2 linked regions of the Tribolium castaneum genome follow. The protein of the gene in region 1 interacts with the protein of each later gene in a pairwise test. Links are inferred from orthologs where the notes say so. Each region holds a gene or a part of one and is shown on either strand. Other genes may lie near its edges. The genes, in order: sds22 and serine/threonine-protein phosphatase PP1-beta catalytic subunit.

Region 1 (4,248 bases):
GGGGACACCAACAAGCCGTTCGAGCTTACGTTCGGTTGCTTTTTCCGAACTTTCGGTTTTGTGCGCATTGTCGGTTGAGTTTGGTCTTTTTTCGCTTGAAATGTCGTTTAGTTGGGGTTTTTCAGGTACCTAACAAAATCTAGGTTTACGTTTGGTTACATAACGGGCCACGGTGCCAATAAGTAATTAGGGCTTTGGGGACTAACCTTCATATCACATAGTCCTTGTATTTTGAGGAGCTTGGCCAGGGAGAGCAGCCCTGGCAGCTGCTCCTTGGAGACCACGCACTGCCCCCTGTATATGAACGCCAGGACGGCCTTAATGTCGCTCAGGGCGACGTTATGCAGCACAATGACCGGATGCTGCGTGTCCCTCATTTCCTACAAGTGGGCGTAATGTCGTTTAAAAATAGACGGTGATTTCGCGAAAACTCACCTGGAACAGCTGGAAAAAGTACACACTGCACATTGCTAACACCAGTTTGTGCGCCTTAACGGTGTGGGATTCGACCGAGATGGTGACATCGGTGAGAACGTCGTTTTCGAGGAACGTGGTGAGGTTTTTGAGGAGGGTGAGCTCTTGGTAGTGCCATCGCAGGACGAACTGCTCGCTCATTGTGACGCGTCAGCTTGGATGGGAAAAATCGCAGGAACTGGCCCACAAACCCAGAATTTATCCAGCTTGGCTATTTTTAAAACTACTGGAGAACAAAACAGGTGCCAGCAAATTTGCTAACCTTTCAATTTCAAACGGAAATAACACGACGGGTTTATTGTTATTTGGTTTATTTTTACGTAGCAGGGGCTTATCAAAATTAAAACCGATTTTCACAATTGGGTGATTGGTTTATAATTAGACGCCTAAAATTAATCGTTACTCATTAGCTAATCAACTCATAAATGCACAGATGGCAACGGTGGTTTCCTTAATTTACAAAACAATATTTTACAACTGACACAAAGTCGCGTCGATCTGGGTTAGAGAGGGCGCGATCATCTTCAATTTCCTCCTGTACATCGGGTCCTTCTCGAGCGGATTCCGCTCCAAGTAAACTGTAGCCAGCTTTTTGTTCTTCGATAAATTCTCGACAGTTCCCCAATCGGAAACTTCATTATCATTCATCCAAAACTCCTCCAAGTCGTTCAAATGCTCGATGTTTTCAATCAACTTTATTTTATTTTTCGCCAAATCCAAGGTCTGTAGCAACGTGTTATGCGTAAGATTTTCTATTTTATGAATTCCGTTCTCGGAAATGTACAGTTCGGTCAATTGTGTGAGCTTATCCAAATTCTCGATACGCGTTATTCGGTTGCTTTGCAGGCTCAGACACGTCACGTTGGTCAGACTGTCCAAGTTTTTTATTTTTGATATTTTATTTTTGCCCAAGTAGAGGTGGGTCAGGGCTGGCATGTTTTCCAGGTTCTCTATGTCCTGCAATTAGGACGGTTTTAGAAGTCACAGATTATGACTAACAACTGAAAACACTCAAAGGATAAACTACGAAGATCTAAAGGTTAGAATATGAAACGACGTACAAATAAAACGTTCTCGTCCTCGATAGCTCCGTTAATGTCGCCAGAGGGCGCATTTCAAAACATGGTTGTATTTTTATTACTGTTCACACATAGCAAACAAAAAAAAACAGGCAGATATAGCATTAAATTCTCAATATTCAGAGATAAACACAGTGCAAAAATTTTATCGTAAACTTTTACCAATTTTGCACTCTGTCAGATATTTTTCAAAACGCTGCGAATACGGTTACAGATACAAGAAAAATGTTAGGAAGAAAATTGTAGAGAATTAAATTTCCTACAAAAAAGTCCGCGAGACCATGTTCCTATCTTGAACCATTTAGGCCCCAAAGTCGTTCAAAGACGCTCAAGCAACGGATTTCCTTAATTTTGCCGGTGGTCAAGTATTGGAAAGTTAATTCGTACCTAAACTATTAAAGATAGAAATATGGTGTCGCGGACTTTTTTGTAGAAAATTTTATTCTCTACAACTTTGTTCCTTACACTTTTTTTGTATCTTCAACTGTATTCGCAGAGCTCGCAGAAATATAAGGTGGAACGCAAATTGATAATTCTAAGCGATAACATTTATCAAAACGCTGGGAATACGGCGCAGTTTCGTCTCCTAAGTTATTATCCTCCATAGGATAAACACTTACCCTAATTTTGTTGTCCCCCAGCTCCAGCATTGTCAGCTTCTGCAAGTGCTTCACATTTTTGATTTTGCTGATTTTGTTCGACGACAGGAAGAGTTTTTCTAAATTGTGCAAATTCTCCAGTCCCTCAATCTCCTTGATACGATTAAACGACAAATCTAGAATCCTTTTAAAGCCATATTTCGCAACATTCACAAATGAGTCACTCCTTACTCTAAATTAACCAAACATCCCAGATTTTCCATTTTGACGATTTGGTTATCGTACAATTCCAATTCGCGGAGCGTGACTAACGTGTCCAAATTCTCAATTTTGGTGATCAAATTCCACCTCAGGAAGAGGCGCTCGATTTGTGTCAAGGGCTCAAGGTTTTCGAGCTTGCTGATCCTGCCATGGTTTAGGTCCAGCTCAAGGGTGTCCGGGTCTATTACCATTATTTCGTTGACAGTGGCCCCTTTTTCCTTATTGTCGTTCGAAGTGGACGTCTCTGGGGCTAACAATGAGCATGGACTTTCGACGAAAGTAACGAATTCTCTTACCGGGCTCGGGGGAACTCTCGTTTTGTTGCGGAGAAGGCATTTTTCGCACTCACACTGGACTATTTCTGTTTATTGCAATTTAATTAAGTGACTAATTTAAAGGCGGGTGACAGCAAACATCCGTGACGTTTGAGTTTGACTTCAACACGTGCAGCCAACCTATTAAATCAAATCGTCTTCCCCTTAACCCCTTATTCACACGTTAATTAAAGTAAACTGTACTTGCAATTGGTCGCAAGTATTTATTTACAGAGCAAAGACAACAATTTACTTGCAAGTGTGTTTTTTAGACAAAATTACCACAACCGGCAATAGCGTTGTGTTGGCAATTGCTGTTTTGTCAGTCATTTGTCAAAAACTACTTTTAGTTAAATTAAAATAATTTATTATTATTTGTGGCCAAAATAGTAGCGGAGCACCATGTCGGAGAAAAGCGCGGCTATCCGCACCCAACTCTCCAACATAATCGCGTCCGGGGGCTCCCACAAAGACCAGGCCGAAAAGTGAGGTTATGTAAAAAAAATTAAAAAAAACATTAATTTTTAACAGATATCGCGGTATTCTTGAGAACATCCTCGCCGGTTCGGGCCCCGAGCTGACCGAAGGCTTGCAGATATTCATCGAAGCAAGTCCGTACCCCCCACAGCCACCAACCCAGTCTAACTCAAGTCGTTTCAGTTGTCAATGAGAACGTTAGTTTGGTCATCTCGCGCCAAATCCTGACCGAAATAAGCTCGCATTTGATGAAACTACCCGACGATGTTTCCAAAACTGTCTCACACTTTATGCTTGAGAAGGTGCAACCCCGGGTTATTTCGTTTGAGGAGCAGGTGGCAAGTATTCGCCAACATTTGGCCGATATCTACGAACGTAACCACATGTGGCGCGAGGCTGCAGCTGTCCTGGTGGGAATCCCGCTCGAAACCGGCCAGAAACAATACACCGTGGATTACAAACTTGAAACGTATTTGAAAATCGCGAGGTTGTATCTTGAGGATGACGATCCGGTCCAGGCTGAGGCTTTCATCAACCGGGCGTCGCTGCTTCAGGCCGAGTCACGGAATGAGCAGCTTCAAATTTATTACAAAGTTTGTTATGCTCGAGTTTTGGATTATCGGCGGAAGTTTATTGAGGCGGCTCAGAGATACAATGAATTGTCCTATAGGACGATTGTTCATGAAGATGAACGCATGACAGCCCTTCGGAATGCTTTAGTTTGCACTGTTTTGGCTTCAGCGGGGCAACAAAGATCGCGCATGTTGGCCACACTGTTCAAGGACGAGAGGTGCCAACAGTTGCCAGCAGTGGCGATTTTGGAAAAAATGTACCTCGAAAGAATCATCAGGAGGTCCGAATTGAGGGATTTTGAGGCCTTGTTGCAGGTACGTGTATAAAAAGTGTTGTATTGTTAGTTGCATAACTATGATAAATTTGTATTTTTTTGAGTCCTTTGTACAATTAAATACTGAAAAATTATTGACATAAAAGTATCATCTTGAATTAAATTGATTGAAACAAGTTTTAAAGAAAATCTGCAAA
Region 2 (3,175 bases), on another chromosome or scaffold:
TGATTCATAACAATCAAAAACAACAGATTGAACTAAAGTTTTCATATTTTTAATTATGGACAATTTTCGTCACAAAATAAGTTTCCTCAAATGAAATGTGTCGATAAATTCCAACTTAAAAGGGTATCACAAAAAAATAGAGATCTTAGTAATAAATCATTTGATTTTTATGTATTTAAAAATATCAAAACTCGACAGTTAAAATTTAAATTCGTTTTATTATAATGTTAAAAAAACGACTATTGGGCACCAGTTGGTAATAGTACTTTAGTTTGGTAGATTTCTTGCTTAAAAACGAAAAAACTCGCAGCCAAAAATGTAAAGTAGGCTTTAGGTCAATTTTGTTGAAATTATTTGAGTTGATTGAGTTGATTCCTGAGTCAAAAATTCTGTCAAGGAAAACAACGATTTCAGCACCCATTTAAAGATAAATAATATAATTTCGGACGATTTCTTGTTATAAAATGAGAAAACTCGCTGAAAAATTTCTATTTTCTGTTGGTACCTTTTTAAGCCTTCTTTTTAATATGAATATTACAAACACTGTTTTAAGACACGTTTCCGATAGCAACGTGTTTTTACTATTCTAAAACACGCTTCTCATAGCAACGTGTTTTAAATTAAAATGTTGTAACGAAAAAAAATTGATAACATTTATACGAAAACGCTTGAAGTTCTCGAGTGTGTTCTCGCTCGACAGCCCCCGAACTTTAAGCTTATGTTTTCGCACTCGTGTTATTAATAACTTTAATTTCTTTAAACTGGCTGGAAACGCAAAATTAAACATTTTTGAAATCAGTTTATTTTATACGGTTTCTTGCTCAAAAATGTTAAAAACTCGCTGTCGAAAACCTGAAGTCGCTTTATTCGCACCACAAACCTTTTGAAACATGACTGAAAATGGCTTATTTTGGATGATTCCTTGCTTACAAATTAGTAAACTTTTATAGAAGACACTGAAAGTTTATTTTGGACAATTTCTTGCTTAAAATCGAAAAAAAGCACGTGTTTATTTCACAAATCGGCTGATATGTGGAACTAATTCAACAGAGAAAGGCCATCATTAAAGTATGCTAGGTTGAACTAATTCTATTAAAAGATGTGCATTATTTGCATATTTGCTTAAAAATGTAAATTTTAAATCACCGACTTAATAATTTTCTTACAATAAACGACCTGTGTGTATGATTTCTGTATTTTATTCATCAAAATAAAGCCAACTTTTTGCATTTTGAAATTAAACCTCCACTTGTTTGCGAAATATAGATTAAGAAGAATTTTCGGTTATATATTTGCAAGTGAACAAATCATTTTTTTGCGTTATTTTATGTTTGATTTAAGCACGAAAAAACCTGAAAAATCGGTGTTTGTTAACACCTTGGTTGTTTGTGCTTCCACTGAAAATGAAAAAGTCTGTGTTGCCAACCTAATTTCGGAGTCATCGGCTGCTGGTATTTTATTCGATTTAATTCAAAAACCAGGTCTGCTGTGCGATTTGCTGTGGTCCGACCCTGATAAAGACGTGCAAGGTTGGGGTGAGAACGACCGCGGAGTGTCATTTACTTTCGGCGCTGATGTCGTTAGTAAATTTTTGAACCGTCACGATCTAGATTTGATCTGTCGCGCCCATCAAGTGGTGGAGGATGGGTACGAATTTTTCGCAAAAAGACAACTAGTCACGCTTTTCTCAGCCCCGAATTATTGCGGCGAGTTTGACAACGCTGGAGGGATGATGAGTGTAGATGAAACGTTAATGTGTTCTTTTCAGGTGAGGATTAGGTTTTTGTGTTTTGGTTCGTTTTGTAATTTTTTGTGTAGATTTTGAAGCCGTCGGAAAAGAAAGCCAAGTATCAATACCAAGGAGTGAACTCAGGACGTCCCTCAACGCCTCAGAGAAACCCAACAACTAAAAAGAAATAAAGTCGAGTAATTGACACCTCTTTTCATTTTTATTCAACTAATGCATTTGTAACGTTTATTCTCTAATACTGCTAGACAGTCAGTCGCATTGTGTTGAAGTATTATTATTTTGTATATTTATTTAGTTTTGTTCATTTTTTTTTAATTAAATTGTGATTATTTTGACTGATTAGGAGTTTTCTTTTTGACTGACTGGTCGTATTTCTATTGTAAATAAATATACGCAATTATTAATTTATTTAGGAACGAGACCAGTGATTGGTGTATTATTTAAAGAAACTATTGTTAAATTATCTTGCTTGCATTTCCATGTGCATCATAAAGTGGCCCAGCCAAAGACTTTGTGATTGGTCATTAAATGTTGTAGAAGAATCATTTTTCTTTGGTTCCTAAATGCTGCAATCGCATCTTGACATTTTGCAATCACCTCTTTGTATAGAAATTGGCATAAACGCGATTTTTTCACTCGTACTATCGTTTATGTTTTATATTTTATTTCGTTCTATTGACAAATCTATTTCACCTAATGTACTTTAAATTTGACAAATAAATCTATATATTACTAGCGACGCCTTTTTATCTTTCAAACCTTTGTCCTTTTTCTCCGATTAACACAATTTAGAATAAGTGGAAATTTTTCTGATCTTCTAAATATGAGTAATGAGTTGCTTTTTATGACAGTTTTTATGAAGAATCAATAAAAACTCGAATTAAATAAGAAAAACTGGAAGCGGAAGAGGTCATAATTTGCAGGAGGCCAGCAAACAGTAATAAAGTGCCCAAAGACTAATTTCTTAAATATTTTATTCAAATATAGGCGTTTACCAAATTTAATTTAGCAGCATTTTTACACAATTTATGAGATACACAAATACGTTTAGAATTTTATCATAAAACAAATAACCTTATCGAAGTGTTACAATAATTACTTACATTATTCATCAAAGCTTAGAGATACTATCACCTTTTTTATCACTATACCTGTAACTGTGACGTGGTTTCAGAAGGCGTAACAATTTATAATTTCACCCTTTATGCTTTTTGCGTTTATTTTTTTCTGTTGTACATAAAAATGAAAAATTATAACTCCAAATTAATGGATTAATGAATTAATGTAGGCGCTCCGAAAAATGGAGGTATTATTCAAGGTCCAAATAAAACAAGATAAAATACAACGAATTTATTGACTTCTAGAGCAGTAATGCGGCGTCGAATCCGATGGAATATTTTATAGGATTACCACTAATGAGAATAT

The links.
Region 2: the proteins of sds22 (region 1) and serine/threonine-protein phosphatase PP1-beta catalytic subunit interact in binary tests that used the Homo sapiens proteins (3 or more experiments, as listed by UniProt). The link is inferred for Tribolium castaneum from reciprocal best matches to the Homo sapiens genes PPP1R7 and PPP1CB.

Annotation. Positions count from the first base shown.
Region 1 is NC_087399.1:5,888,522-5,892,769, forward strand, and holds sds22 (protein phosphatase 1 regulatory subunit 7), read right to left. Parts: upstream 2,865-4,248; 5' UTR 2,750-2,864; coding exon 2,710-2,749; intron 2,658-2,709; coding exon 2,384-2,657; intron 2,337-2,383; coding exon 2,174-2,336; intron 1,432-2,173; coding exon 946-1,431; 3' UTR 769-945; downstream 1-768. Other genes in the region: longitudinals lacking protein, isoforms H/M/V, read right to left, coding at 30-129, 207-380, 436-615; CSN4 (COP9 signalosome complex subunit 4), read left to right, coding at 634-716, 3,259-3,338, 3,388-4,091. UniProt on the Homo sapiens protein: Regulatory subunit of protein phosphatase 1.
Region 2 is NC_087402.1:10,010,939-10,014,113, forward strand, and holds the end of serine/threonine-protein phosphatase PP1-beta catalytic subunit, read left to right. Parts: intron 1-1,481; coding exon 1,482-1,768; intron 1,769-1,818; coding exon 1,819-1,920; 3' UTR 1,921-2,485; downstream 2,486-3,175. UniProt on the Homo sapiens protein: Protein phosphatase that associates with over 200 regulatory proteins to form highly specific holoenzymes which dephosphorylate hundreds of biological targets.